Linked DNA regions of Coturnix japonica. The protein of the gene in region 1 purifies or fractionates together with the protein of each later gene. This does not show direct contact. Links are inferred from orthologs where the notes say so. Each region holds a gene or a part of one and is shown in the gene's direction. Other genes may lie near its edges. The genes, in order: TULP3 and TTC21B.

Region 1 (16,417 bases):
CATCATCTCGTCCAACCCTGCTGCTCCATAGGGTCAGCTGGAACAGGTTGCATAGGGGGATGTCTGCTCAGTTGTTGAGTATCTCTACAAAAGGTTATTCCACAGCCTTGATATGCAGTTTGTTCCAATGTTGACTGACCCACAATAAAAAAGCATTTTCTTGTGTTTTTTTTATGTTTTAAACTGTGCCCGCTGTCTCTCTTTCTGACAGTAGGCACTAGTGGTTCCATCTTTATGCCTTGTCATGGGGTGTTTATATACCTTGTTCAGCCTGCAGCAGAGATGGTTCCATGAAGATCTTACCACTCTCAGCTCTCTGAACTCATATGAGAGATGCTCCAGTCGCTCAGTAATCTCTGTGACCCTTTGCTGGACTTGCATATTTTCCTGGGGGCCCAATAGTGGCCACAGCATTGGCTAATAATAATAATACATCATAATTTGTAGCAAAAGCCTTTGAGTAATGAAAGCTTTTTGCTTACAAAATGTTTTCAGAGAATTTTAGTTCAGTGACTGAATCACCGGTCCTGTTTGTGACAGAAAATGAAGTATGTTTCTTTCATAATGCCTTATTACTTGGTCTTCCCATGGGCTAGAAATAGTGTTTTACAGTTGGAGCCTTGACAACTATGTTGCAGTCTGTGGATGTCGTGTTTTTATATAATGCAAACTAATTTCTGGTAATAATTTTTTGTCTCTTGCCTTTTCCAGCATCTTTGAGGATGAAGGCATGAAACTACGACAGCTGAAACTAGAGAATCAGGTCAGTGGTTGTGCATTAACTGGCAAAAATAAATGAAGGAAAACAAACATTAGCCATCTTATTTTAGAAAGGAAAGTTAAAGTGCTTGTTTTCCCTTTCTTTCCCTTCTTCTCCATTCCCATTTTTCCTCTTGATTACCTGTCCTCTTTTCATTTACTTCATAATTTGTTGCTCAGAACTACATAAGGTATACAGCAATCACGAATATAGGCCACACTGTTCAGTTTCTGTTGTGATATTCAAGGCTGCAGGTGGATTCACAGTGTCACAGAGGCTTGAGAAGTGTGGAAGTGATTAAAAATGGTCTGAAGAATACAAGCAGAACCGATTGCTAATGTTTTTCGTTTAAGTTCTGCCTGACTCTTGTTAGATAGCTTGTATTTATTGTATTTATTGTATTTATTGTGAAATCAATAAAGTGTACATCCTCTAAAATTTCAAGTGCTTATTTAAAAGTTAGAAATTATGGGATAATTATAATTATCTAGCTGTCCATTTCACGTGGAATGGAGTTCACTGAATTACGTTATAGATTAAATTCATGAAGGTAGAACATGAAGCTGTGTTGAAATTAAAGTATAGTTTTTAGAAATTCTGTCTCTCATCTGAGGATCTTTTAAGTTAAGACATAACACTTTTCAGGGAACTGATGCATCAGTTAATAACCCTCTTTACCAAAACTTGTTTGTTATTTCTAGTCTGAGCTTATATTGCGCTGAGTCTAGACAGATTCATTATTGTCTTGACCTCCGTGCTTATATGGACACTTATTTAACGCACTTCAGAGTTAAATAACTATCTTTTACACAAGTAGCACCATGCTTTGTGAAACAATAAAGGTCAATAGCAGATCACAGCCAGACATAATGGCTTCATTACTGTTTGTAGCAGATACCACGCTTAAGAAATTTCTCCTAAACATTTAGAGGAACTGAGGTAAAAATTGCAGAATGTCTTTGTGAAATACAACAGGATTGTGTTCAGCATCTTTGAGCACATGGAGAATCTAGAGTAAGCCTTTGATGTATCAAGGGCTTGTGTCTCTCATCCATCGTTATGATGGATTTCAAACCATATAATTTTAGTTAAGTATTGTTTATAATCTGTGGGTCACATCTGTCTGCCCCAAAGCTTTTGCCTATTGTACTTCCTTGAGAAGAGTGTGGATGGCTTCTCAGGCAGTGCTTAGTTCCTCGGCAGTAGAACAGTATCTTTTGAGGTACCTGTAGCTCAACCTGTACTGCTGCTATCTCTCTGTGGATGGAGAAGGTAAAAACTGAAGGCTTGTTTCTGAATGCATTTAATACAATATTAGTCTTGACACTGAAGTTTTATTAATGCCATAATCACTTGCATTTGTCCCCGCCATCTTACTGTGAACTAAAGAGGAGCTGAAAGAAAAGGAGCCTCAGAAATCCATGCCTTGTGGTCTACTAAGGTAGACTACATCAAGTAATAAATAGTGCATTGCACCTTCAAGAAGAGTGATTGAAGCCTTGTTGTGCACCATCTTCTTGTTCATTACAGTGATAGGAAGAATGATGTGGAATACCAACAGCAAAAATTACAAAACCTGTTATTTAATGAGTTTTTAATGAGTTAAACGTTCTTGTGTCATGTGATTTTTTTTTATTATTTTTTTTTGTAATTCTATGTGAAATTTTACTGTGACACGGGGCTGGAGAAAAATGTGGTTAGTAGATGGAAGCGTGTTTTTTTAAACTTGCCCTTAGTGGAACAAGTCTAAGGACATGCTGTGCTGAAGGTAAGGCTGCTGTGCCACCTTGTGTAAAGAGAAAGAGTTGCGACCAACCATCACACCCATGAGCTTGTAAATTTTCTTCTTAATAAACAAAGCTTTGGAGAGAAACCTAATGACTGTCAAGTTTCATCACTTTGGTTACCTTTAAGTTCTTGTGAAAAAGTTTGTCATATTCACTAGCAGTGAAGTATGTTTTAATATGCTTTAAAAAATCTAATCTTGTAGAATAAACAGTAAAGTAACTTCAAAAATTATTATGTTCTATACTGATCCCAGTTTCAGTTTCCAGTTCTAACTGTAGCTATGTACTTCCTTACTGTTTTTAGGATGTGTTTATTCTTCACCTGTCCGTTTGCTGGGTACAGAAGCCTCGGCAACATTTTTTTCTCAAATCTTTTTTTTTTTTTTTTTTTTTAAATATATTTGTGTTTTCCATTCTCCTTTTATGTCAACTATTAAAGATTTAGACAATATAGCAGAACTTTTTAACTTGGCATTAATTTATCCTAATGCATATATATTAAAGACTTCTTCTGGATGATCTGACTACTAGAGAAAAAATATTACCGAGTATTTTCTAAGAATTTTAATTTACCTTACCTTCCTCTAGACTGATCTAATAATCTCTATACAGTTCTTTGTATTTTTTTGCTGTTCAGGACAATCCTTGTAAATAATTCTGCAGTAAGTAATAATAGCTGAATAATCTGCATCTGTGACAGGTGGTCTGCACATCTTACATCATGCATCATCTATATTTTAAGATTTAAGCATGGCTGTCTTTAAAATGATGCAGTGCCTGTATTTGCTATAAGTTTAGATCTCTCTACTTACATATAATAGGAGTAATGAACATCACGTGTATGTATGATGGGTAAATGTTTTGTTTTTAACACTAACACTTGAATTTCTTTCATTTCTGAATTAAATACATGTATTTTGTAAGATAGATCAGTTTCACACTTGATTCTAAGTGACTACTGAATTTGGCTGTTTATGTTAAGGTTTACTGCAGTTTTGTCTGGAGAAAAGGAATTAAAATTATTTGTTGATGATATCAGGATAGATCCTTCCATCAGAGGAGAACCAAAAGCAGTGTCTCACTCCAGACACTGTAATATCTGTGTCTAGGATTTCTGTGAGAGATAACAGGAGCACTTTATTTAGGTTGATGGGAAATCATCATCAGTGGCTGAGGTGCAGGCTCTCTGGCAAGTGTTGTGGTTACCTTTTCTTAATTCATGCTTTTCCTTTTATTTCACAGAGAGCCCTTCTAGAGAAAAAGCAGAAGAAGAAACGTCTTGATCCCTTGATGGTACAGCCAAATCCCGAGGCAAAGCTGCACAGGTTGAAGCCCAAAGGGTGTGAGGAACAGACTCCTTTAGTAGAAACTCCTGCCACGTTCCACAGTGATGTTGTGTTACATGGTAAGTACCTGATTTTAACAGTGTTCTCCCAGCATGCCACTGCATGCATTTTATGTCTTAGATGGTCACCTGTGTTGCTGTGACAGTTGTCAAGCCATAAACAAGACTGATCACAAACCTTATGTACAGCTATAGAACTACAGTATAATATGACAGAAATATTGTTTTTCCTGTGGCCTTCTGGAAGGCAACAGAAGCATGACAAGCAAATTATAGGGGTCCAGAAAATGCACAAACATGACACAATACCAGGGAGCCAAAGCCTCCCTTCAGTGGTATGAGGGCATTACAGTAAAACGGCAGACATTTTATTGAGAATTAAAAGAAATGCATTAGTGAGAGCTTTAAAGACTTGTATGTCATAGGGTGGGAAAAAAGAGTAACAGCATTGTAGCAGAAACATCAGGAAGTAGTTTGTGAGAGCTAAAATCCTATCAGCCTATCAAGAAAGTGATAGCAAATAGGCTTTGAGGTGCATACTAGTGTGGAATGGTGTATTGCCACTGTTAGGGTTCTTTCACTAGCTTAGGATGGTGATGGAAGTGTTGATGTGGATGATAACATTTATGTATTTAAAATTAAATGGGGGAAATCTGATAAAAGAAAATTTGAGAAGAATAAAAAATATAGTTAGGAAACTTCAGTATTATCAAAACTGCAGAAAAGAAAAGAGGAATCTAACTACTTCACTAGCTTCCACAGTTCTAAAGGTTCTTTAATACATATAAATCATGTCAGAAGTCCAACTAGAAAAAGTAGTGCAGTTTCAAGATGAAAAACAGTGAAAAAACAACAACAAAAATCAAAGCAGAAACTATACTGTGTACTACATAAACACATTTCTGATATGTATGTTGCCTGAAAGTAATGCCTCCTATTTATTTCCATGGAAGTTACAACAGATAGAAGAAGCACCATTAGCACCATTAGTGCTATTTGATAGAGCAAATTCTAAGCTACAAAACATTATTTTTCAGCATACTCGTTCCCATTAGCTCTGCATTTTTACCTACAATGAGCAAAAGCCTGAATTCTATGCTTATAAAAATAAAGAATAAAATAAACATTTGCACCAGGGAGGTAATCTACTGTTGCTGTGTCACCACTGCTGAAATTCACCACGCGTTGCCTCGCTGTGCTAACGTCCACTGTTCATCAACATTTCCTGACTGTTTATGGAGACTGAATGTCAAGTGGTATTATTTTTTCCACATGGAGAAATTCAATTCCACACCTTTGCTTTTCGCATGCAGTTCCTTGATAGATGCCATTTTGTCAGGCTGTCACACGGCATCATGTGCCACGACAATGGAATGTTAGTGGGAAGGTTCATTCTCTACTGCCATAACACCAGCACTTACCTTTTTTGCCATTTATCAACATACTAAAATAGGTTGTTCCACTCTCAGAGCATCCCACATTTTGTTCCAGACCTTGACATAGATCTTTATCAATTGCAAAGTGCAGCATATGCTGTGCTACATGTTTAAACCTGGAAATGCCATTTCTTCTGAAACTGTGGAAGGCATCAAATTTACTATGTGTTTGTCCTATACCTTTGAATATTCTTAACAAATTGATTTGTGATGTTTACTGTAGAACACTCGTTTAATGTCATTCCTTGTAAAGGAAAAGTTTGAAGGTTGGATCCAGGCTCCACCCCTTCCAATTGCACAAGTGAATTGCCTTCACCTGTGCTCCTGTGTCTGACTCAGTGCTCACCTCAGGTGATCAATCAGAAGTTTAGACCATGATTCAACAGTTCCCATACAGGGTGCTTAAGCAATAATGGATGAAAAGAGCAACCATTATGGAATATATCTGTAAAAATGAAATGTTTATGTTATGTTTCATTTTGGCTTGCAGGCATTGATGGACCAGATTCTTCCTTGAAATCAGAAGTGCAAGATTTAGGAACCAAACTCCAAACTTTCTCTGTTGGATCTTCCATAACAGCAGGAAATGCAGATGAGAAAAACAATGAACATGCTCTAACAGAAACATCAGGCAATGCAGATCTGCAAGAAATCTTACAGAAAAGAGGTAAGTGTTGATAGTAGGCAGACACGCTTTTCAGGACTCCTCTGTTTATAATTTTTTTTTCTTTTTCTTTTCCTATAGCATTAAAAATAATTAGAAAATTAAGATATAACAAAGCGAGTTACCAGTACAAAAAAGACAGGGATCTCTTTGAAAGAGTCCAGCGGAGGGCCACAAAGATGCTGAAGGGCCTGGAGAATTTCCCCTGTGAAGAAAGGCTGAGTGAACTGGGTCTGTTTAGCCTTGAGGAAAGAAGACTGAGAGGGGACCTGATCCAGATCTATAAATATCTGAGGTGTGGGGGAGCAAAGTGTCAAGGCCAGACTTTTCAGCAGTGTGTGGAGACAGGACAAGGGGAAACAGCCAGAAAGCAGAGCATAGGAAGTTCTGCACGAATGTGCGCAAGAACTTCTTTACAGTGAGGGTGACAGAGCACTGGAACAGGCTGCCCAGGGGGTTGTGGAGTCTCCTTCTCTGGAGATACTCAAGACCCGCCTGGTCACCTACCTGTGCGACCTGGTGTAGGGAACCTGCTTTGGAAGGGGGTTGGACTCGGTGATCTCTGGAGGTCCCTTCCAAACTCTACAATTCTGTGATTCTATGAAGAATGTGAACTGTACAGAGTCCAACCTACAAGGTAGGTCTTACCTACGATTATAGAGTTGGGTTGCCTTTTTTGATATTTAACTACGGAGAGGTTGTTAGTTTTTTGCATATAAAAATAAGCAAAATTTAATTCAATGATAGCACATTCATGATACAATACATTGCTTGCTGAACTACGTATTAATAAAAGTTTTATCAGCCAAAAACTGACAGCTGTAAGATGTTTCTACTGCTATCAGTATTATATGTATAAATATAATCAGAATTACAAAGCTTAGAAAGTGATATAGCACGAGAAGAAAATCAGCAATTTGAAATAAGTATTAGTAATAGCTACACAAAGGTTATATGTAAATTAGCAATGCCATAAACTCATGACACTTTCTTTTAGATTAAATTAAATTAATTCTGTGTTCTGACAGGAATTTCAGGCAGTTTGAATTTTGATGAGGAGGACATGGAAGAAGAGGAGGAAGAAACAAGTAAGAGACCAGCATCTCAGTCACCACATCCTGAATCTGAGAGGCCTAGTTCTGCAACCACTGAGAAATCCTTTGCAGTAGGTGTTTTGTAATGAGTTTCTGATGAGAACTGGGCATATTATTGATTTTTACTGCTTTCCCCTTTAGCACTGTGTTAAAATACTGTATTTCCAGTTGTTAATCTTTGAAGTCGGAGGAGGGACAATAGTGTCAGATTATCTAACAGAAGAGCATCTAATTAAATAGAAAGACCTGGTAATCATCAAAGGAACAGTGATGGGTGGAAAAACTGAACTCAAGTAACCTAATCAGTGAACAGGGGAGTACTCTGAATCAGTGCCCCTGTGATGCTCAAAGAAGAAAGATTAGACCATCGTCTCTGCTTCAAAATCTGCCAGGATGATTCAGAGAAACTCTGAAATGCCATACAAACTAAAAGGGTTTGCTACCTCTATTATAGGTTTTGTTGTAGGGATGCAAGGGGGAACAGAATGTTGGAGTGGATTCTGGGATTGTACAAAGCTTACTATGAGGTGCTTAGAGAAAGGGATACAAGGGAAGAGGATCAAGTTGAGTCAGGGGACAACAAGCGTAAGAATACAAGGAGTAAATAGAATGGATAAAAGGCCTCAGGGATCCTTGATCCTGGAAGTCCATGATAATATTCATGTGACCCAATTGCATGTATTTGTGTATTCTGTGTAGGCTGTGTAGCGCAGTATACACACTAGCCAGTGAGTAGTACAAGAAATCTGTTTGCTTTTATTTACTAATAAAAAGCTGAGGTGTGGTTGATGGCTGCTGGAGATGACTTGGAAGCTCCCCATGAGGGAATTTCAAGTGTCCAAGATGAAGGAATACTCCAGGTTCTGCAGTCTACAAGGTTTTACAGAATCACAGAACGTTTTGTGCTGTAAGGGACCCGTAGGGATCACAGATTCCATTCTGTGGCTCCCCACAGAACTACCCAAAGTTCATACCCTGTGTCTGATTGTCCAAGGTATCATTGGATAGAACTGAACTGTAGCAGCTTGGCACCTTGACCACTACCTGGGAAGCCTGTTCCATGACCAAGCACCCTCTCAGAGAAGAATGTTTTCTGAACACCTAACTTGATCCTTCTGTGATGCAGTTCTGTACCACTCCCTCAGATCCTACAGATGGAAGTTTGGGAGGTGCTGACCCATGTTTTCCTCTTCTCTTAAGGAAAGGACTGAGAAGCCCCCAACTCAGAGCAGTGGGCACTGGGCTCCCTCCCTCCTATCTGAGGGCCCAGGACTCTGGGTCAAGTGAACCTTCCTTACTGCACTGCCCAGCAGCATGATGTGGCCTGTCCCAGCTCCATGTCACAGCTGCACTCTTAGCACTGGCTTTATTTTCTCTCCTTCCCTGGGAGAGCTAGAGTAAAAAAGTTTCTATCCACTTTCTTCAGAGAAACACAGATGTTTTTTCATTCAACTTCCATTTCTCAGATATGTTCTTGGGGCATCTGTTCCAACAGATCTTCCTTTTCATGGGGAATACCCACGACCCTGCTGGTCTGATGTTGGTTTTCTAATATGATGGTTCTTCCTATAGGAAATAGGTGCTTCCTGTAGTCCATCCCCTCAGGCGGTTGCACATCTGGGAGAAGTAGAGAACTTGGAGGAATTTGCATTGCTCCCTGCGCCACGTGGTATTACAATCAAGTGTCGAATCACTAGAGATAAGAAGGGAATGGACCGGGGCCTCTTCCCTACTTATTACATGCATCTGGAAAAGGATAACAACAGAAAGGTATTGGAAGCAGCGTACAGTGTCTTGGCTGTTGTATTCTTAGACGTAATATTTTAGTGTAATGAAGAACACTGCATAAATCAGCAAGGAACCAGAAGCTGAGGAGTGACAGCATGCAGATGAGGGCAACTTATATCTGGCCAAGGCACTAAGGAAGGAGTTTGTAAGTTTTGAAGCCAGAATACAAAGAAAGATGAAACTTAAAAGTTTTAAAATGTCAGGGTTAAAGAAAAGCAGGGAGACTGAGCTGTTCCAGATGAAAAGTGGGGAAAACTGGGAAAAAAAAAATGCCTTTAATCTAGACTGCTGAGTACTGTAGATGGAAGAGCAGGATTTCAGGTTGTGTACTTGTGGGAGAGGTCAAAACTAGCAAGACTAATAACAGTTCAGAACAAAAATGGGAATGGATGTGGGAAATTGGGAGGTAACAGCCTGGATAGCAGTGCCTCTGCATTCTTTCAAAACTCCAGTCTTGATAAAAGTTTTGTATTTCCAGATGTTTCTTCTTGCAGGTAGAAAACGAAAAAAGAGTAAAACGTCCAATTATGTCATATCAGTTGACCCAACTGATTTATCCCGGGAAGGGGAAAGTTTCATTGGAAAACTCAGGTGAGAGCACTAGATAAAAACTACAGAAGAATGTACATCTTCTGCAGTGGGACAGATGGAATTTACATATTTGTTTAGTTGGAGTTATGGATAGTAATTTGCTCTCTATTCAGAGAGAACTAATTTGTCACTTCGAGCTTACTGAATTCAACTAGGTTGTCAGTCTTTACTCGGTTACCATTCATAGTGATGATTTGGAGGAGTTCTGGCTCAGTGCTTTTCAGGACAGGTAACGTACCCAATTTTACAAGGGGCACTTTACTGAAACTCCTTACTGAGATCACTAGAGAAAGACTCAGGTGACTGGAGATGCCTGACTTTTCTGTCACGTGCACATGCTTTTGGAAGATGATAATAATTTCTACTGATACCTGTCTCTTTTTCTATGTCTTTCTATAACTGAAATTAGGTCAAACCTCATGGGAACTAAATTTACAGTCTATGACCATGGAGTTAGCCCAGTCAAAGCACAAGGTCAAGTGGATAAGGCTCATACTCGACAAGAACTTGCAGCTATTTATTATGTAAGTAGAGCCTCTTCCCTTTTGCCCCCTTCTAGTTTGCAGGCTGATTACTAAGGAGGCAGGGCTCACAAAGTGATGCTGCCTGCAGCTTCCCCCACTAAACTTCAGAACTGATTTCCACTAGATAAGGTAAAGGGCACAAATGCAGTTTCTTATGAGTTTTATTTTTTATTTATTTTAATGAATGTAAGAGGGAGGGAGACCCAAATTAATGTTCTAATGAGCTTGTTACTTGACCAAAAATTGATACTCCAGTCCTGAGGTTTAAGGAAAATCTGAGATACTTCACAAAATCCAAGTCAGTCAAGTTGAAGTTTTTGTCTTTTATCATGGGCACAGTAGAACAAATTTAAAGGTTATTAGCCTGAAGCGTGATTTTAATTTTTTGGGGCTATTTTCCCATAAGTGGCACTTTAGGGGTAAAATATGTCTTGATAATTCCAGTATTAACCTGTTCACAGAAATGTCAGCAGATCCAGCTAGCGCAGTTATAGCCAGCAAATCTCTGAAAATAACATAAATGTGGATTCAAGCTCAGCTTTGCTGTCTTTCCTTCTGCATGATGGAGTATATCCATTCCTGAAGATAGCGTCTTTCCTTGTATTTCAGGAAACCAATGTGTTAGGATTCAAGGGTCCCAGAAAAATGTCTGTAATCATTCCAGGAATGAATATGAATCATAAGAGAATTCCAGTCCAGCCACGAAATGTGAGTTATGGAGTTTGGTCATAATTCAGACTGGAGGAAGAGGTGTGAAAACTTTCTGGTGAAGGTGTGGGTGTTATTGACAATCATGCTTACTAGAGAATGGTTGGTGTTGGCCATGGCTGTTACTGAGTCTACGGGGCAGTAACAGTGTTGCTCAAAAGTGGTGATTAATGTATTCTTGCCTTTTACCTCACTTCTAAGTTTCTGAATCCTGTTTGTATTCATACTCATCTTTCAGGCAACCTAACTATGATTTATGGTATAGCTATTGCAAATGGCTACTCTGACTTGTTGCTGTTGCATGTACAACCCCTTTTCATGAAAGGCACTTATTGTATTTTTCTCTCTCTTTTATGCCTACTGCTTTGTTAGCAGGCAAACATAGTGACTGTGGCCAAGGCTGAAACATAAAGCTGTTAGAATCGTATAATCATAGAATCGTTTGAGTTCCAAGGGACACTTAAAGATCATCCAGAGTCCATCTCTCCAGTAATGAACAGGGACATCTACAGCTCAAACAGGTCGCTCAGAGCCTGGCCCAGCCTGACCTTGAATGTCTCCATGGCTGGGATGTCTATTTCCTTTGGGCTACCTGTTCCAGTGCTTCACTACCCTCACTGTGGAAGATGTTTTCCTTATATCCAGTCTAAATCTCTTTTAGTTTGAGACATTTTCCCCTTATTCTGTCATAACAGACCCTGCTAAACAGTCCCATTCTTTCTTATGGCTTCCTTCTAGATACTGAAAGGGTGCTATCAGGTCTCCCCAGAGCCTTCTCTAGACTGAATAGCCCAAGTGCTTTCAGCCTGTCTTCACAGGGGAGGTGTTATTCCTCTGAACACACTCCAACAGGCCTATGTCTCTCCTGTACTAAAGACTCCACATCTGGATGTAGTACTCCTGATGAGGTCCCACCAGCTCAGAGAAAAGCGGCAGGATCACTTCCTTTGCTCTGCTGACCATCCTCCTTTGGGTGCAGCACAAGATGCATTTGGTTTTCTTAGCTGTGAAGGTACATTGCTGGCTCATGTCTAGCATGCCATCCACTAGTATACCCAAGTCTTTTTTGCTCCACAGTTTTGTCCCCCAGCTTGTATTGACTGTAGGAATTGCAGGTGCAACATTTTGCACTTGGACGTATTGAATTTTATGAAGTTCATCTGGGCCCACTTCTAGAACTTGTCCAGGTTCTTTTTGCACCTTAATCAAATCAAGTTTTACTTTAAGGAAAATAAAGCATTTTTTAGAATAATCTATTTTTTTATCTGTGTACAATATTAAAACCCTCCAGTGTAGTTTTTTAACCAGAATATATGGTGATATTTCATGGGGTAGAAAGGAGTGCTTGGAAAGAATTTTCTTGTTACTTTTAGGATACTTTCAGTAGGACTGAGTTTAAGTGCTGTCATTTCACTTAATAGGGAACAACGCTGAAGTCACAGAATGCACATATGAGAGAGGCAGTGCTCAATAGCAGAGTCATTCTGAATCTGATAAAATGTTTCTTTCTTCGGAATAGGAAAATGAGAGTCTTCTGTCAAAATGGCAAACCAAAGATTTAGAGAACCTCATTGAGTTGCACAACAAGGCTCCAGTCTGGAATGATGATACTCAGTCCTATGTTTTGAATTTCCATGGGAGAGTCACTCAGGCCTCAGTGAAGAACTTCCAGATTGTCCACGACAATGACCGTAAGAGTTTGGTGGAGAGTGGAAGAGTGTGTTGTTTAAACAGGGAAAACAGCATGTATCATGAGATTTGGGAGGAATAGAGCACTATTCCCAGAGAAGGGGACTGGGTGAAGGGAGTTAGCTCAGTATTACTGGGACTTCTGGCAAGAAAACTTTAGAGGGCCTGACTTTTCTGGGGTGAGTGCAGAGAGGCTGCTCTCAATAGATGCATGAAAAGGAGATAGAGGAACTGCAAGCATCTTGCAGGGGAAAGAAGGAGTTAACATGATACCTTCAATGCAATGAAATAGTGGCTTGAGCCTTAGTTCTTAGAAGGAAGGTAATCTCTAGGAATACCACAGTCACTAGAGACAACAGATTTTAAAGTCAGTTTGATGAGAGATGGTGGATACACTAACCGTGTATATTTGGGAGTGACCGACACTTTTAAACTTCTGTTTCTTTTTTTTGCTTACCCCTGAAATTGTTGGTCTCTGATTTTTTTTTTTTTTTTTCTTTCTCCCCAGCTGACTACATTGTGATGCAGTTCGGTCGTGTAGCAGAAGATGTTTTCACTCTGGACTATAACTATCCTCTCTGTGCTCTTCAGGCCTTTGCTATTGGACTGTCCAGCTTTGATAGTAAATTGGCCTGTGAATGAGAAACAGCCAACTTGACACATGGAACTCACTCCCATCTCTGTATCTTGTTAGAATTCAAGGTGAAGTAATGAAAAGCATATTGGGGGCGGAAAGATACTGGAAGACAATTTTTTGTAGGCTTATTGGAAAGTAAATAGCAGTCCTGAGGGCATTTCGGTATTTAACGGTGGACTGTCTTAGGAGTCTGCCTCTGTATGCTTTGTGGAAGAACAAGGAACATGAGCGATGTTTTTGTTGTCAGAATTATTTTTGCTTTTAGAACCTTTGCATCAGCTGCTGCTTGAGCAGGCTTAGAAATTTGTTTCACTACTGAAACCCTTTGCAGCTAGGATTAGACAAATAATGGTTTAGTGTTCATGTACCCTGAATCTTCAGCAGTGCCCCTGGAGATGATGCTACTGATATGACTTTGAGTTTCTGGTCAGATTAAGCAAGAAAAAAGGAGGGCAGTGTATGTTCTGTCTTGCCCTGTGCAGTATTCTGCAGCCTGTTAACAGCAGTGAAAGAGAAAAGGGTTCAGATTAAGCCTATGCGCAACTCTAGTTAGTAGTCAGCGAACACAGGGCTGGACTGAGATACTGGCTCTAGTGAAACGTCTCTTACTTTGTGGAATGAATCTCTGTTAAAGCTGATAGTCTTATTTTCCTTTCATTATCCTAATTGCTTCATGTCCCTTAATATACTTCTTAACAAATGAAGCATCACTCCCTTTTAATTTGGCAAAATTATATCCATTGGTGTTATTTTTAACTACGTGAAATATAAGATTGAATAGATTGAATTGAACACAACTCTGGCCGAAAGTAGTATTGTACTGCTCCTGAAAAGCAGTGTTGGGATCTAGATCAGAAATACTTTTTAATTTGTACTTTATTTGTAAAAATTTTCTATGTTTTTAGGAATGAGCAAGATGTAATTGGTTTCTTTTTTTTGTTTTGTTTGTTTGTTTAATGTGAGATTATCTCAAGTTATGACGCTTTGTAGTAGGTTTCATTAAAATGATTTTAATCTGCATGTAAGATACCTCAAGAGGAGATTACTGTTGTTTTCAAAGGCATCAGCAAGTTAAAAGAAAAAGAAAACTATCACGAGGCTCTACAGTGTTTCTTTCCCGTGTTCCCATTTAAATGCTGGATTGCACAATTTGGAATCTGTAGGTTACACCGTGGGACATTTCTTGATTCATACGGCTTTGATTTATCAGTGAGTTGCTACATGCTGATACACAAGCCTCATAGTGCTCACATCTGCTGTGTACTAAAGCACAACAGCTAATAACTTGCCACTTCCATGGCTACTATGCATATCCACAATGAGCCTGGAAAACTGCATCTTCTATTAAGACAAGAAACAGCATTCTTCAGTTTTGCATGTTGCTACTATCAGCGGGTGGGCTCTGTTTCAGACTACTAAGAAGCAGACACTGCTTTTGGTCTCCAGTGTCTTTGCAGTGGTAGGTATAACCTGTTCTTTCAAAATGGAAGCAGGAAATGACCTCATAGGGTTTAATTTCCCTGGAAAAAAAAAAAAAAGAAAAAAAGAAGAAAAAAAAAAAACAGTCATCATTTGTAAACTTTGTATTTAATCGTAAATTATAAACTCGGGCTGGAGGACCAACTCTGCAAAATGTTGGAGGCCCAATCTCATATACCCATTCTGTAGGAGGGCCATTGTACTCAAAGAGATCTCATCAGCATATCAGTCAGCAAAGAGAACTGATAGCATGAATATCCTTTGTGCCTTCATGTACTTCCTGCTTATCAGGCCAGGGACAAGATCAGGCAGTGTTCTCAAGTTATGTTCTGCTGAATTCTTTAGCTCCTGGTTCTGCCTTCCTTTTACTCATCCAGAAATACTAAAAAGTCTGTTTAGTAATCTGATTATTTTTTTTTTTTCTGGTTAGGACAGTGTGAAAGAAATTGCACTGCATTAGTTTGGTGTGACTTGAAGGTCTTGAAGGTTGAATGCTGATTTCCAATTCAAGATGATTTTGCTCTGTTCTAAAAAATTCGTGGTGGCATTGCTTGACAGTAATGCCAGTTAGCAGTGGATCTTCAAGTCATTTGTTGATGTCAGATCATCTTCACTGGGCCAAAGTCTCGGAGCCTTGATCAAGTTATGTGGACAGATTAACTGCATCAGTGCTCTTTTATTAGATACTGTTTTACATCAATTGTATTTATAATTTTTATATCTCAATGCAAATAAATAATTTATATATTGGAAAACTCAATGATTCTAAGTGAGGTTATTTGTTTTCTGTTTGGTGTGATTTTGTTGTCGCTTGTGGTTGTTATTTGTTACTCTGGTTCTAGTTATTTCCTCTTTTTCTTCCTGGCTTCTTGTGTCTTATCTCTCTTCTTTCATACAACTTTTCCTTTGTTATTCTCAATTCTGTTCTTTGATGTTTTCTTCATACACTTAGAAGCCTAGGAATAAATATAAGCTCATTTTCTAATGCCCTTTATGCCTTTTTTCCTTTTCCAACAGCAGGGCGCCTGGTGTAATTCATGGCTCCCATTTGATTATTTATTTGAGCTGCTTATGCTTCTTAGTTTCATGTTTTTAATTCTTAATTCAGTATCAAGGTAGTGCATTTGAGGTGGTTTGTTATACATTTTCCTACCCTCGATCTGCACCTGTTCTGCTACTGAAGTATAATAAAGTATATTTCTGAATCAAATAGCACACGGTTAAGGGGAAAGTCAAATTGAAATGGTGATCTTTTTTTTGTTACTATCAGCATACTGTCTGCTTTATACTTACTGTGCTGCTCTACTTCCTGATATCTGTAAATCTCTTAGTTATCATTGAGATACATTTCCTATTCCTGTTAAAGATGGCAAGAAAAACCTTTCCCCTGGTTTACAAACTGAGAGCTGATTTCTCTAACAACTGTTAATCTTGTATCTCCTGAACTTCATAGTCTACAGAATTCTGGTCATAACATGTTTTGTGTGGAGCTGTTCTTTGCTGTAGACCACTTATTTGGTCCCCAAAGTGGAAGAAAATTTAAAAGCAAACTGACTTCACCAAAATGATTAAGGTGAAAGTTACTATAACTGTAACCTACTCTGTAAATATTTAAGCTAGTAAATACATACACATGTGAGCATGTTCTAGAGGATGGGAATTGGTAGTCATTTCCTAATAAACAAAACCAGGATGATATGCACTCTAATTCCATACCACTTACATCACACTCTCAGGTCCCATGCTGGCCAGCATCCCCTGGTTAATCACCACCACCTTTGCTCAGTTCTATTGAAATTCATTCTTCGTTAATCTGTGTAGCTTATTGAAGTAATACTGATACAGCAACCATAGTAGTGATGACATACAGTATTATATAGGAATGGACAAATGAAGGCATCTCCTAAACTGATGC
Region 2 (16,417 bases), on another chromosome or scaffold:
AGGGGGATATAAAATGATCTATTTTATTCTCCGTTTACCAATCAACGTATTTTTCTAGAAAGTCCATTTTTGTAGAAAATCACTGTAACTTCTATCTCTGAACATCTTTGAGTATGAATTTCAAAATACTGTTATGCAGTAAAATGTTTTCAGTGAAAATTATTTAGTGATCCTCATCTGTTAATTCTTTCAATTCTATAATTGATTCTTCTCTAAGGCTTCGGCAAGACTCAGTGACCTACTTAAAGCATTGGACAGGTCGGAGCCACGTAATTCACAGCTCTTCTATAAAATGGCTTTAGCTTTCAGTAGAACAGTAAGTTTTCATTCTTTTCCTTAAAGAACAGACAAATAACCACATATTGTTTGATTTATTTTACATTTGTACCAGAAAATGTTTTAATGAATGCTTTCCAAAAGATTTAAATAAGTTCACTTGTATGGCCTTTGGTAACTCAGTTTTTTAAAGTTTTGCATTCATTTGCATTGTGAGCTCAAATACTTGAGCAATGTCATTCCAAAATTGTTTTTGTTGCTTGCTTTTTAAATGAGAAACAGGTTTTCAATGAAGATTTACTCATATATCTCATAGAACGTTTAATGGGATAAAGATTTGTTAAGCTTCATCATACAGCTTTGAAGTGGAAAGCTTCTTTAATCCTTATCAGAACCCTTTTTAGAAGGCATTCAAAGCAGCTATCAACTGCTTGGAATTTTCTTTTATATGGTATTTTGTATTTGTTTGAACCCCAGCACGCATTACTGTTTGAATCCTTATTGAATTACTGCAGGTTAGTCTTACATGAGGTTATGGTGTTTTGTTGTTTTTTTTTCAACTGTTGCAGTAAAATTGAATGTGCAGACTCTAAAGTCTGAAGTAACTTTATCTTTTTCTAACTGAATTTGGAGGAATAAAAATGAATTCAAACTTTAAGATTATTTTTACCTTTTAGTGTGGCCGGAACCAACTCATCCTTCAACATACACAAACGTTAGTTCAAAGAGCATTTAATTTGGATTCTGACAATGCAGAATTTGCTACAGAGCTTGGCTACCAAATGATTTTACAAGGGAAAGTGAAAGAAGCTTTAAAATGGTATAAGACTGCCATGGAACTTGATGGAACAAGTGTTTCTGCCTTAACTGGTAAGGTCTTAAACTTGCTTTTTATTTTTTTTTATTGCTTTTAAGATGGGTGATGCTTTGCTTATCAAATTTTCCTACTACTGCTACTATAAGTAACAAGAACTATTACTGAATAGCACGTGGTTCTGGTTTTGTGAAATTATTTTGTTAACTAACCTTACTAGGGCTGTTTTTCCTTTTCTTCCAATTTTTGGCTCCGTTGTTCTGTGACGTTACTATTTTGTGCAATATTATGTTCTTGGCTTTCAGCAGAATAGTGCATACAGCATTTAAAATGCAGACATGAGGTAACTTATTTTTTTATTTCTTTTACCAGTGTAATGCATTTGGTGCACTGATTTATTTTAATCACGGTGCAAATCTATATAGCAGATTTGCAGAGGCACATAATTGCAAAATACATGGTACTGAAGTGGTGTTGCTCCTTAGAGAGTATTAGATCTTGCCATAAGGCAGGGATTAGCATCACTGAGAGTAGTTATTCATACAGGAGGAGAATGAAAATATTTTAGTTTCCTGTCTTTTTCCCCATGTACTGCCTGATTCATGGGGAAAAAAGCCCACCAAAACATTGGCTATCCACTGTTAGCCTCTTGTTGAAACGTCTCTGTGTGGCTGTGTGTGTGCGTTAGTGAAACAAGCACAAATGAAGGGAGGGAGCAAATCAGTGATTATTGCTTATTTGACTATGGTAGAAGGTGGTTGCTTTATCAAATGTGTTGGTCTGAGTTTCATTTGCTGTCAATACTGATATGGTTATTTTGTTATCCTTGAAAACCATCAATTACCGTACTTGTCTGTAGTAACTCAGGTTTACTGTCACACATCAGTGCCTCTGTTTAAACTAGAACCAGATTTTTTTGTTTAATGTGTTCTTCTGCCTGGCTGGGTGTGCACAGACTTGGCTAAAGCAAAGTGGTCTTTCTTTACCTCATCTCCTCCAGATATTTGTTGTCTGCCATGGACAACCCTGCTGTTCTTCATGTGACTCATGTATGCAGATGAAGCATTGTGTTTCCTCCAGACCTCTCCTTGCCTGGGCTGCATCCAAAACACACTTTTTAAAAAATTTTTATTTATTTTAACATACACCACCACTGAAGTCATGTTTTAATTGCAGTTTTCTCTGTTGTCTGAATACCTATTTTTTTTTATTTTACACTGTTGGGAACGTATATTATCATTTCAGTATGTTAATAAAGTGCCTGCATTTGCCAAAGCTAGAGAGTTCTCATGCTCTACAGAAATACAAAATTCAAGGGCAGGTGGTGGAACAAACTGTTTTCTGTGTCTGCAGTGAAGACTGAAGTGCATGCTTTTCAGTTAATTTAGACATGTACGAAATATAATCAGGCAAGACTTCTGATAATTACAGCAGTTTAAGCATTGGAAGATCTTTGGGAGGGAAATATCTATTTTAGATAAAGTGAAGATCTCAAGGAAGTGAATAATAAACATGGCATATGTGCTTCAGTCTTTGCATTTTTATCTGTAGCACTGCTTTCTATTCTGAAAACTCAGTATGAAAAAATCTGCTTTGTGTGTAGTCTGGGGTGTTCTTTTGCTACTTTAACTTGCTTGTTGGATTTGGAAGTGAAGATTTGTTGTACTTTGACTTGTGTTAGTCTAGAACCAAATGAACATTTACTGTGCTCAGCTTCGTAGTATTAGGATTTGGATATTTTCACAAGTGACTTTTTGGCATTGCTTATATTATGTGTTTTCTATCTCAAGCATTTCTAAGTATATGAAATCTGCATTACCATAGATCATGATCTATCTTTTTCTTCTTTTACCACAGTTTTATTAAGAGGCTGAAGAGAGAAGAATTCTAGGGAACAATTCACATCTTTGACTAAGAAGATAAATCTGAAATAAAATCTTTTGATATGTTACAGGAATTATTCGTTGTCAGATAATACAAGAGCAGTTAGAAGATGCAGAACAGCAGTTGGAGTTTCTTAATGAAATCCAAGAGTCCATTGGAAAATCAGCGGTAGGAGGCTTCTTTGTGTATTAAAATACTTTGTTTACTATCTGCATAATGGTCTAATATCTACTTCCACATTTCAGTCACTCAAGTGGAACATTCTGAATTTCAGTTTTCACTCCCCATCAACTTATTCATAACTTAGGAACAGTGTGTGTCTCTCAGGATAAGTCTAAATGTTAGGAAGGGAAGGGTGTTAATTTTTGCAGGATTATTTGATTGGCAGATCATAGAGCTGCTCCCACAAATTAAAAGAATGTGCTGACAAAGGAATGCAGTGATCATTGGTGCTGTTTGCAGTAAACATACTTCAGGTGTTGCAGTATCTCTACACAAAAAAAAAGAAATGACTAACACTAATGATTAAGTAATTTTGTATAAATAACAGGTGAATGTATCTGGAATATTTAAAACGTGCTATTTCTTCTTGCTGTAGGAATTATCTTTCTTGCGTGCAGTCCTTGCAATGAAAAAGCATAAGAGACAAGAAGTAGTGTCTGCCTTGCTGAATGATGTTCTGGATATCCACTTCTCAACTATGCACCGTTTTCCTCTTGGTGTGGAGTATTTTGAAAAACTGAATCCTGATTTCTTGCTAGAAATTATTAAGGAATATCTTCATTTTTGCCCAGTACAGGTAAGCAGCTGTATATTGCATCTCGCTGAAAACAAACTCTTGGAACTTTTTCTTGAAATCAGGCAATCATGAAGTAAAAGCTTAGAAAACTTTTCCCCTTGAAATTTGAATTTCTATGAGGTAAAATTGCTTTTTAAGATATTACACAACCATTTAATCAAAATAACTGTGTAAATACTTCTCTTGCAAAGTCAGCAGGCACTGTAATATCTGAGGAAACTTAGGATGTTAATTTCATGGCCTGCATCTGTATTTCTACAGATTATTTTTTATTTTTTAGAACCTCTTGTGATCAAGTAACTAAGAACACAGTGACTGTAACTATCTTAATGAGGAACTTGGTTATTCACACTGTAATTATTCTGGTACTGAAATATTGTCAGCTGGTCTTGTTTGTTCTAGTCTTGGTGCAAAGATACATAGGACTTACACATTCAGTGGGGACCTGACATCCCTAGAGTTGAAGTAAAGCTTTTAAAGTACCTATAAAGAGTGTCTTCTTTATAGAGATTATTCCTCTGAACTAGTGAGGAGTGATCTTTATTCTGTTTCTAGCAGATTCCTAGTCAAATTGTAGAACCTTTCCATAAATATTTCTTCATGTAAAACTATGAAATCCAGTCAGCAAAATAACATTAGAACACTTACTGCTAATTCATCCCACTGTCTTTGAGATGATATGGCTTGAAAGTCTAGAACAATGTGACAGCTCTATGTGATTTTGTACATAGATGGAGATTAAAGTGTCATTCTGTGAAGCAGTGTCTGAAGGTTTCCTTAGGGTTCATAATGGCAATGGTAGTTTTGTTATTTGGAATGAAAACTGAATTGTTGTCTCCATAGAGGAATGTGAAAAATGATACCTTTCCTGAACTTTCATTATACCTTTATTACAAAAAAGAGATTGTAGCTTCCTGAGGGCGCGCATCCTAAGAGGATATTAGGGGTGAACAGAGGCATCTTTATGTTGTCTTTTGCTTGTTATACAATGTTAACTTCTTCATGGGATGCAAACTGCTCATAATAAAGAGCAACTAAAATGTGATACAGTAGAGCGAGCAGTTGATGTGAAAGACTGGATAGAAGTGGTTATTTTCAGGCCGCTGCTTTCAGTTTGGTGATAACTATGAGGGTAAGTTCTGTGGAATGGAAAAAGCAAAGAGGAGACAGGACCAGGAACTTTTCCTTCCAGCTTTGGCTCTCTTGAAGTTCTTATTACCATTTTGTTGGATCAGTTGGCATGGTAATTATGAACGTGCCGCCAAATGTTCATGGACAGCTCTTTAATTACATCAGGTCTGGGTCTGTTTTTCCTGGAATTCATAGTACACTTTTGTGTCCCTCCCTGCTGATACCAAGAAGTTGCATTTTAGATGTAAAATGTACTCTTATATTTCTTTACAGCAACAACCTTTATCTCTTCAGCTTCACTGTTGTCGTGAGAGTTTAAAGTGAAAATCAGACTTGAAATGGAATTCAAGTATTTTGCTTGTTTGTTTTGTTGGATTTAATTCTGTTGATTTGTTGTTCTTTGTTTTTTGTTAATTTTGTTTTGGTTTATTCCTAGCTTGCAAGTCCTGGGCAGTCTCCTTCACCACTTCTCAAGCAGTATGCTTCTGTTCTTGAAACTGTGGTAAAAACTGTGCCAGGTCTTCAACAAGCTGTTTTTTTAAATGCAAAGGTGAAATATTTATCAGGTAATACTTGTATGAAGGGTTAGTTGTCTACCTCTCTAGTTTCTCTGCTTTTGCTCTTCAATTGTAAAGTATTTCTTCTCCACTGTGTTACGCTAAATAGCTAAGTGAAGAATACCTGCACTACTTCTGTCATTTATGCGAGCATGTTTTAGTTCTGTGGGCACATTAATGTGATATTACATCTATTGCTTTCCAAAAGAGATCAGTTATTAAATGATTTGGAGACGGGACAATAGGAAGAAGTCTTAACTTTGATTTCTGTTCAGAGCTGCAATAAATAAATTAAAAATATGGTCATCCTTCATGCATGACTTTGTTCATTGAATGCTAATAGTTATTAAAAAATAAATCATCAAGTTAGTAAATAATGAATGAATGTTTTGTTTAACTCATGTTTCTTATCACCTACTTTTTCACTTTGTCTTTTTTGACTTCCTAGGGGATATTGAAGCAGCCCATACTAATCTTCGTTACTGTCTGGAAAGGGGTCCTTCTTATGCAGATGCACACTTACTTATGGCTCAGGTCTATTTGGCTCAGAACAATACTAAACTGTGTTCTCAATCCCTGGAACTCTGCCTGAGCTACAGTTTTGAGGTGAGTTGGTCAAAACTATCAAACCACTTTGTTCAGTCAATCTAAGTTTTTTTGTATGTTTTTTAATATAGTGGTCTTTAAAATGAGATTTTTGACTCTTCCACTACAAGCTCTATAACTAAATGCTAGTGTGAATGTGGTATCTGAATATTTATCAAATAAATAACTAATTTTTCTTAACGAAATCCTTATTGCAAATACTGAAATTGTCTTAAAATACAAAAGAAGGAATAGCTTTCCCTCCAATCCTTACATAAGTACTAAAAGCAACTAAAACAAACTGGTACAAACAGAATTGTTGATTGCAGATGAACTTTGCGATTGACTTTTAAAGGTCAACATAGGAGAACTTGAAGAGTGATCCAGTGTCCTTGTATTCTTACACAGATACACAGTTACAGATGAAGATAACAAAGGTGCATAAGGAGTTCAGAAATGAAAATTCATGTTGTTTTAGCACTATAAATTTTACGAGTTTGAAGATTTGCTGACTTGCTCTATTTGTTTACTGTTTATTTTCTGATTAACACTGATGGGGGTACATGGTACAGCATTCCTTAGGCCTGAGTTGTGCTAAGTCTCTTGGCAGCGCATGGCTGAGTAGTGGGACAAGCTAGCACTTCCTTGCAAGTGTTCTCTCCTTTTGGTTCCTTATTCCAAATGATGCAAAAAAGCATAAGGCTAACAAAGTAATCAGGAAATACCAAGGTGCGTGCAACTTTATACGTAACTGCATTTCCCTTATTTAGATCTCCTTTTCCCATTAGGTCTGTTTTGAGAAGGTGTGGAAATGGCAGACAAGAATTAAGCTACAAAATTATTCTATACTATTTTTAATTGTAGCCTAATGAAGCAAATGTATTTTAATGCGAGAGATGCTGAAAATCAATCCATTCTAGTTTAAAATAATTCTGTCTCAAAGTTGATATAATGAAATAGGGAAGTTTTTTATTATGAAACAAACTAATTACTATTTTCTGCAGATACCCTGAAAACTAATATTTACATTATTGAAACTTGAATTGGATAAATTTAGATGTTAATGGAAACTGAGGTCAATGCTGGGGAAAAAGAGAGTCTGTCAGGGAGATGGAATACTGTGCATGAGGGGAGATCTGGAAATTCCTTCTTTTTCTTTATATGTGTGTGTAATTAATTATATACATATACTTACATAAATACATATATCTTTTTCCTTTAGGTGAGAGAACATCCAGTTTATCACTTAATTAAAGCTCAAACCCAGAAGAAGATGGGTGAATTATCAGAAGCTATTAAGACCTTACAGATGGCAAGAAATTTGCCTGGAATGAGAAAACATACAGCTTCCTCAAAGACAAAAGGAAAAAGAATTGAAATTGATACAAGTGATCGTGTGGCTGTCTTTCTAGAATTAGTAGACGCTCATTGTTTGAATGGAGAACCGGTAAGATCACAAACATACCCAGAAACAATTTCTTCCATCCATTAACTGAGTTGTCTAATCCTCATTAGCTTAGAATGTAAAACCATCTATTTCTCTGCCAACAAGATATGCCTCCTGGCATTTTGAGGCTGTGATATTTGACTTGACATCTGATGTGTGAAACCTTGCAAGAAAAAAATATGTATTTGCATGTGCTACACTGACTGAAAATTGTTACACAAGACTTGAATTTTGCAGAGCATATACTCTTATATACTGTTGATGTTCACTGTCAGGCATGTAGGTTAATATTTTGTTGAAACAATCCTACTAGAAATCTTTTTTGACTGTGTCCTTACTTTTATGTGTTAGTATCCTTACTCTCAACTGAATCTTAATATGCCTTAGGATACTGCATCTGCCTAAGGATATAATGTACACACAGCACTGTAGTTGGAAGGCCGGAGGTCATCCCTTTCTAAATGGGACTGGTTAGAGAATGATGTTGTCCGGTTCATTTTTTTTATCATTTTCTTGCGTATATGCAACATAAGTGAAGAGAAAAATAATGTTTTAAATGTTTCAGCAAAAGAAATGAATACATTGGCTTGGTTTTGCTGCTTTTTTTGTTTTGCTTTATTTTTGTATTATGATCTCAGACATACATTTGCGTATGATGACTTCATTTTTGTCTGTTCAACATCAAAACCTGTGTTAATTCTGTTGGTTTTATTTGCAGCATGAGGCTGCTGTAGTACTACAAGATGCCATTGATGAATTTTCTGGAACTCCTGAGGAACTGAGGGTCATGATTGCAAATGCAGATCTGGCAATTGCTCAAGGAGATGTTGAACAAGCCTTGACTGTGCTCCGAAATATTACACCTGAACAGCCTTACTTTGTAGAAGCTAAGCTGAAGATGGCAGACATCTATCTTCAGTGCAGGAGAGATAAGCAGTTGTATGCTGCTTGCTACAGGTAAAAGTGTGCATTGTGTATGTGTTCTATTTTCCAAGATGAGAAATGGCAGCATCTTGAGCTTCTTTGTTCTCTTTTTGCTAAAACATGTCAGAAAATATAGCGATACAATGAGCTCAAGTGTTCTAACATTTAAAACAGTAATTGGAATTCTTACTTTGGAAAGATTTCAGATAATGTATTTTAAGAAATAAAGATTAATATCACTAGAGGATAATGTTATCACACCCTACTTGTTTAGATACCGATATTGATGTGTTAATAATGAACACGGTTCTGTCCTTTGCTTCCAGAGACCTAGCAGAAAAACTGCCAAGTGCTCATACGTTTCTTCTTCTTGGTGATGCATATTTGAATATTCAAGAGGTAGGTTTTTGCTAGAAATGAGTAAGTGACTGAATCATTGCTTTTCTTTGGCAAGTTGAGAGAAGGTAGCATAAGGACTCTTAGCGGTAGGTAGTTGAGAAACAAAGTTCTTATGAATGTTAAAAACTGAAATAACTAACTATGAATGTAGCTGTTCTAAATTCAGATTAAAAGCTGTTGAAAGTACCTTCTCATAATTCTGGGAGAGAAACTGAAGGAGACCATTTCCTCTTGAAGAACGTCAGACAAAAATTTGAAAAGAAAGAAATCAGTCTATGTTAAGAGTACTTTTTAAACTTGAAACAATTGAAATTATGTTCCAATACTGAAAGTTTTATTTAAAAATCATAAACTATTGGACTTCAATATATATGCTAGAAAGTCTTTGATTACTTGATGGACTGGAAATGTTGCTCAGTATTTGTAGAAGATGTGTTGTATTGCGTGAATGTAGAAATTTGAAAAACACACCCTTAAATTCATATTACTGGAAGACTTGATCAGGTTAGAATATGAAAATTAGATAAATAGTTTGGGGAGCTGTAGGTGATTTACAGTGGTCTTCCCTTTAATGAAGAAGTGCAAAGCAAAATATAATTTCTCTGTGTGCTTTTACCTACTCTTGGAATACTACCAGCTTTTTATTTTCCACACATTTGTTGTCTTAATCCTTGACTTCTGTGTTTTATCTTTCACCGTTGAAGCCTGATGAAGCCATAGAAGTCTACGAGCAGGCTTTGAAGAAAAATCCAAAAAATCCAGCTTTAGCAACTAAAATTGGAAAAGCCTTAATCAAAACACATAACTATTCAAAGGTATTCTATAATTACTTGGTTTGTTTCATAACTGAGTAGAAGTATTTAATTTTATAGCTGTAAAGTAAATGTACTATGTAACATGCGATTGGCCAAAGTCACAGTTGCATATTGGTGGATATAAACCTGATGAATTGTAGTTCTGTTGACTTAAAGTTGATACGTGTTTGAACCTGCACTGAAAGTCATCATTCAGTGCTTGCCCTTTAATACAGTTGTGATACCTCTCACATCCGTAGCACTGCACAACAGAATGATAATGAAGGCTTTAGCTTCTCCATATTAGAGAAAAAGAAGAAAATATTTGGGGAAAAATTGAGTTCTTTCATATTTTTAAATTTCACAGGATGTTTTGCCATCATGTTTTTCAGATAGATTTTAGAGAAAATCTTTCTCCTATTGTACAGTAAAACAGAAATTTATAATTCAAATCTGACTGTAATTACACAGCTTTAGTAGCTAATGAAAAAGTAATTTAATTGACAGCAAGTCAGCTGAAGATGGTAGGTGCTAACATGGTTAACTTCCATAGTCACCAAAATGCGGCACTGGTTATTCTGTTTCTTTAATTTGGCTCTGAATCTTGGGAAGTCCAGAACTGCAATTAAGTGACATCCTATTAATACAGTAATTACTAGAAAATAAGTTGGTTGCAGAAGGAGTGAAGAAGAGAAAGGTCTAAGCAGGATGCCATTAAAAACTGAAGTAGTATAGCTTTCTGTAATTTTTCTTTAATAACCAGATTTCTGTGTTTCTTTTAGGCAATCAGTTACTATGAGGCTGCCTTGAAAAGTGGTCAGCAGAATTTCCTTTGCTATGACTTGGCTGAACTTTTAATGAAACTAAAGCAGTATGAAAAGGCAGTAGTAGTACTTCAGCAAGCTCTAGATCACGAGTATGGTATGACTGCCATTAATTTACAGCATAATGTGTAGTTACTACTGTTACACTTATTTGTGTTTTCTCTCTGGCTGTAGGCAATAGTGAAGATCAATATCAGCTTTTTTTTTAACTATGTAACACAGGGAACTACAAAGTGATAGATGAAAAATACTCAGAAATAAACTTGAGTTTTACAAAAATACTTGCCAGGATTTTTACACATGAAACATCACATCAAGTAAATGCAACTTCAGACCTTTATATAGGCAAGTTTTTTGCTCTTTTTTGCTAGCAGAAATTCTGATATGGTCCATATAGGTGTGACTAATTCCTGCTCCTAAGAGAATAGTTCTTTAAGTGGAAGATACTGCCAGGTATCCTTCACTGCAAAGTAACCAAACCAGTTGCAGATCACTTTCTGTGTTTTAGGAATGTGTAGTCACAAAGTTAACTCCTTTTGTTTTAGGATGTGCATGGAAGTGTCGATCCTCTATTTAACTTTATTCTCTTAAAAAATAATAATAAAACAACATCAGTTTATCATTTTGTTACTGACTTAAACATTTAAGGATCCAGCTAACTTGATAATCTTACTCAAGAGAGCTTAATCTTCTAGTGCAGAAAGATTAAATTAACTTTAAGTTGCCCCATGTACGTAAAAATATTTACTTCTGTCTTACAGTGAGACAACAACTGTGGGTTTTTTTTAATATCTTTGATATACATACTCCACAAGAAAAAAAACCAATAGTATGTCATCAGCTAATTAATTCTTTTTCCATTAGGCAAAGTATTGAGTAGATCAGTATCTCTGTTTAGAAATGCTAGAATATGCTTCCTAAGATGTCAAAGAGAAATGAAATGTAGGGAGTGTTATGGAGGGAGCAGTCTTATGTAAGGACTAGAACAAGTTGCCAGCTGACTTAAAACAGTGTTTCACAATTAAAACGCTTTGAAGACAATTCAATATATTTATATGAAAACATAAACACTTTTTTTTTTTATAGTATGTAACTGTGCTCAAGACACCAATTTCACAAGAGATTAAAATGAATACAAACAGGAGAACTTGTACTGTGTAAATGCTACCTTACACATGCGTATTTTTAACCATTATTAGAATTAGCATGCTGCTTTTTCAACAGATACTAAAGCATTTAGTTAAAATAACAACTTGTATTCATGTCCATGTTACTCATTCTAGCAAAAGAAAGCTACTTTGAAATCTGACTGGAAATTTCACAAAGCAATCTTGTGCTTTTTTTGGTTGGGTGACACTAAATCAGTTTGGATGTTTTTCATTGCCTTTAAACAGGTTTTTTGTAACAAATAGAAAGAATGGCTGTTTTTGGTTTCCATCTTAAGTTACTCATATATTTCTGAAAATGCAAATGGAAAGGCTGGTAATTTTTATTCTTTTCACAACTCATCTTTGCCTTAAATCTCACTCTGTATATTATGTTTACTCCTTCCATTGCCTGCTAACTCTGCACATAAAATCAAATCACATTCCTGAATAAAATCAAGCTGTGAACTTCTCATTAAGCTGTTTCCTGGAATACATGGAGAATTTTGACTTCCCAGGATCAATTCTTAAAAGACTCATGTTTGTTTATCTATTTCTTATAGTTAATGAATTGTCTTCTCTGATGGAAGATGGACGGTACCACGTTCTATTAGCGAAGATTTACAGCAAAATGGAGAAGATTGATGAAGCTATCACTTCATTACAGCAGGTAAAGGGAAGACAAAATGCAACCTTGTGGAAGCTTGCAACATCTTCATTTTTATTCCTTTTATTTCAGCTTGAGCCAATGGAGGGAGTCCTTTATTTGGGAATTAAATAAAATTCAACTTTAAATCAAAGAAAATTGAGCAAGTTCAATCAGAATTGGGCATGGCTATTTCCATAGCTGTTCCTTTTGTTCTCCTGGGGCATCTGCCTTTAACAGAGTTCTCTAGTTCCATGGTTCTATCTTTTCTTAATCACTCCCTAAATGAAGAAGTAAAATGTGGTAGTTGTTTGCATACTGTCTGAATTTTCTATACTTAATAAAGGAGTTAAGTACTTAGACTTTGAGTTTTAGCTTTTGAAGTTTTGTTTGTATGCTTAATTTTAGCCTATTTAAAGTCTTCAATGTACAAACCTTACAGTATTAGATGGACATAAGAGAAGCATGTTGGAATCCCATCTTGAAGCGTTAAATGCTGGGCTGTTTGAAACTTGTAAAAATTGTAGCTATGTTGTTGTAAAATGAATGATACAATATTGAGTCCTTCGGAAAACAGTTGACTGATCCTTCCTTATCCTTCTCTCCATGCTAGGCTCGAGAATTACAGGCCAGAGTACTTAAACGGGCTCAGACAGAACAGCCAGATGCAGTTCCTGCACAGAAGCAGTTAGCAGCTGAAATTTGTGCTGAGATTGCAAAGCATTGTACAGTTCAGCGAAACTATGAAAAAGCAATTAAATTTTACAAAGAGGCACTTGTTCACTGTGAAACTGATAAAAAGGTCAGTTCTCCCTCTGACAGTTTTGCATTTGTTTTCCTCTTCCCTTTTGATACTTAGCAATGCGTTTTTCCAATTATCCACAGCGTTGTACTGTTTTAGCAATTATTTCTGTTTTGTGATGAAAACCACAAAGGCTCTGTGTATGTATTTGCTTTTTTTTCCTGCCTTGAACTTTCTCCTTTCTGTCACTCAAAATAAAATAGCTGTATATATACTGCAAATTTCAGTGTATTTACCTGAAATCCGCATTTGAGTGCTGGTCTATGTTCACTTAGTAGTCTGTTACTTGCCAGTATGATAGGACTGCTGTCATGCAGCAGTTGAGGATGTGTAACGAATGGTATGGTAAGAACGGCAACTGCTCCAGCCTTGCTTGTTGCCTGTCACCTGGAAAGAAATCCCAGTGACTTCAGTCAGTTCAGACAATTTCTGTCTCTGCTGCCTGTATTCTAAAAGTTCTGTCCCTGCTTGGTAGGATTCTGGTTTTATTTGAAAAATGTTGCTATTGCTGAGCAGTGGTTATTGTACTGCTTCTCTTTTCCCTTCACTGTCTCTTTCAGATTTGCTTTAATGTTCCTTTACCGACATGGAATACAATGACACCGTAGCAAATCTAAAACCAAATTTCTGATTTTTAGAAACTTGTTTTCTGCTGCGTTAGATGTCAAGTTTAACCGATGTTCTTCTCTAACATGCCCCAAACAGGAAGTTTCCTAACTAGCATACTGATTCACAATCTTCCACTGTTCTACATACAAAAACTTTCTTCGAATCACTATTTGAAGAATAATTAATATTCTCATGTATGTGCAACTCTGTATCTGTTCCATTGCTTGGTTGCTTGCCTTTCTGTTTCAGAACTACAGTGACTGAGCCCTGAGGATGCATGCTTATGTAAATGCTGGTTTCTTAATATTTATTCTGTGGTGGTTTCTCATAAATGAATTCATACAGTTATAATATGTTAGGTAGGGAAATACAAGCAAGAAAACAGTTTCTCTTAGAATTTGTCTATACAAATGCAGTTAATCAGTGGATGTTAATGAGATATTTGCTTGTTGCGACTTTGTAGCTATTTGCATGTATGTTGTTTTTCTCCCCAAGATAATTATTCTTGCTAAAATTATTTATACTTTGGAGCAATGCTGTCTTCAAGTCTGCAATAACCAATTAAAGAAGAAAAGTTTTACCTTTTTTGTAGCTGGGGGAATTGAAATCAATTAAAATTTTTGATTGAGACTCTACAGAAAACAACAGTAAGATCTGTCGGTAAAGTAGAACTATACAGCAGAATATGAAATCTCTGGTAGACACGTACAGAACTGAACTTCCTTAGCTGTATGCAATTCAAAGATTAAATATTTTACTACACAGGCAATGTTGGAACTAGCACGTTTGTACCTTGCACAAGATGATAGTGATGCCTGTCAGCATCAGTGTTCCTTGTTACTGAGGAGTGAGCAAGATAACGAAGCAGCAACGATGGTAACGTACTGTTATACTAGTTCTGTGTGAGAAGTTTTTTGAAGTTTTTGTGTCAGCAGTGTGATAAATTTGTAAAATACAACTTTTAGAAAACATCACAATTCAGGAATGTGAGCAAATCTGTTGCAACAAAATATTGCCATTTATGCTGGATACTGATTCAGTACGATCTTAAAAATGATTTTAAGATGGGAAAAAATTATTCTCTTGCATCAAGTAACATCTGGAATTTATCCTAGTACAGTGCAAGACTGGGAGTGATAGCATTCCAATTAGTTTTGTTAAATTTACTCTTTAATAACTGCCTCTTGGGGGAAAGAAACTGAAAAAAGAACTGAATTTACTTTCTCTTCTGAAGCGGGCGATGTGTTTCTTTTTCCTGAACTTTAAAGTAGTTTGATTTTCTAGATGCTTAATATGCATTTCTGTGAAATAAAAATAGAAGTATTCAAGTGAAAACAAAGCATCTTTGATAGCTACATTGTAATGTTTTATTCTCTCTTGCCTTCCATCTTAAGTGAAAAACTGAGAAGTGAATCTGCTTGTTATTATTCTGTGTGTCTAGCTGAGGTGTTTATTCTCCAGAGATTAGTGGGGAAAAAGGCTCTGTTTACTTTTTGTCAAATTCCTGCAACACTTTAACCCTAGGGTTTTTCTGCCCCTGGTTTTAAAGAACTAGAGTTAATTTTGAAACACAATATTTAAGGCTTTGTTTTGGTTTTTGGTCAATACTGTAGATGATGGCTGACCTCATGTTCAGGAAGCAAGACTATGAACAAGCAATCTTTCATTTCCAGCAGCTCCTCGAACGCAAGCCAGGTGATTGTTCACTAGTGGTATTTTAAACTCTTTGGTACTGATGTCTAAGGAGAGAGAGGTACAAATAACTAAAAAGTGCTTTGTTATGTGATAGTTATAATGCAAATAAAACGAAGACCATCACTGTCTATAAAAACATAAAGCTATTGTAGGGAAAGATTTGCAAATAACTTCACTCAGCTATAGTAATTTGTACTGCTTCAATGCAATGTGCATTGCTTAACTTAAGCCAAATGTAGTGTTATGTACTTGTACCTGTAAAGTGCTTTCTCTAGTATTTAAGCTATCAAGTGCACAAACACAAGCCTGGAAATTTAGGATAAGGCTATGAAAGTGAGGTACAATTGTACTTACCTTTGTACAGTTTATTTAGGGGTATTGCAGAGGTATCACTGTTTTTTATCTGACACTTTTATATAATATGACTTACATTACACTCTTGTCATTTTTGTGTGTTAAAAACAGTGCAGGGCCTTCATCTTTAAATCTGTTTGCTGTGCAAATAACTGAAATGACGATGTCCTGTTTATTTAATCTATTCAGATAACTATGCCACTCTCTCACGATTAATTGATCTGTTAAGAAGAGCTGGAAAACTAGAAGATGTCCCAAGATTTCTTTTAATGGCTGAAAAACATTCTTCCAGAGCAAAGCTTGAACCAGGCTTTCACTACTGCAAAGGACTATATCTCTGGTACTTGTAATTAAAATAAGGTTCATATGACATAGTGCATAGTTACATTAATTTTCTTATCTGTTGTCATTCAAAGGTGCTACGTATGGTGTGTTAAGTGCTGTAGCAGTACATTGCTTTAGATAATGGGATTTTAAGAAAGGTTTCTTTGCCTCTTCTGTAGTACTTTGCAATGAACTTTTCAAAGAAAAGATGTTTTATCTTATGTACGTCTTTCATATGTTCTGTTTAGTAACAAAGGATATTCTTTCTGGTTCAAAGATGTAATATAATTACTTTGAAATTCTGGAATTTCACAGATTATTTTTAATCTGCAAAAACGCATTCCTTGTACTAGCACATGTGATTCTCAAAGCTTGTATTATTGGTGTGTGCAAGTATGTCAACTAGTT

What was found.
Region 2: the proteins of TULP3 (region 1) and TTC21B purify together in Homo sapiens (affinity purification with mass spectrometry; 5 studies listed by BioGRID and IntAct, counting the BioPlex papers as one, with this or other methods). This does not show direct contact. The link is inferred for Coturnix japonica from reciprocal best matches to the Homo sapiens genes TULP3 and TTC21B.

What each region holds. Positions count from the first base shown.
Region 1 is NC_029516.1:68,373,825-68,390,241, reverse strand, and holds the end of TULP3 (tubby-related protein 3), read left to right. Parts: intron 1-711; coding exon 712-763; intron 764-3,789; coding exon 3,790-3,952; intron 3,953-5,818; coding exon 5,819-5,995; intron 5,996-7,020; coding exon 7,021-7,157; intron 7,158-8,658; coding exon 8,659-8,856; intron 8,857-9,352; coding exon 9,353-9,465; intron 9,466-9,874; coding exon 9,875-9,989; intron 9,990-10,598; coding exon 10,599-10,697; intron 10,698-12,216; coding exon 12,217-12,388; intron 12,389-12,894; coding exon 12,895-13,028; 3' UTR 13,029-15,262; downstream 15,263-16,417. UniProt on the Homo sapiens protein: Negative regulator of the Shh signaling transduction pathway: recruited to primary cilia via association with the IFT complex A (IFT-A) and is required for recruitment of G protein-coupled receptor GPR161 to cilia, a promoter of PKA-dependent basal repression machinery in Shh signaling.
Region 2 is NC_029522.1:17,557,431-17,573,847, forward strand, and holds part of TTC21B (tetratricopeptide repeat protein 21B), read left to right. Parts: intron 1-217; coding exon 218-316; intron 317-953; coding exon 954-1,146; intron 1,147-3,044; coding exon 3,045-3,142; intron 3,143-3,572; coding exon 3,573-3,773; intron 3,774-5,340; coding exon 5,341-5,470; intron 5,471-5,909; coding exon 5,910-6,067; intron 6,068-7,268; coding exon 7,269-7,493; intron 7,494-8,211; coding exon 8,212-8,450; intron 8,451-8,743; coding exon 8,744-8,816; intron 8,817-9,520; coding exon 9,521-9,631; intron 9,632-10,392; coding exon 10,393-10,531; intron 10,532-12,142; coding exon 12,143-12,249; intron 12,250-12,838; coding exon 12,839-13,027; intron 13,028-14,401; coding exon 14,402-14,512; intron 14,513-15,249; coding exon 15,250-15,331; intron 15,332-15,874; coding exon 15,875-16,025; intron 16,026-16,417. UniProt on the Homo sapiens protein: Component of the IFT complex A (IFT-A), a complex required for retrograde ciliary transport and entry into cilia of G protein-coupled receptors (GPCRs). Essential for retrograde trafficking of IFT-1, IFT-B and GPCRs.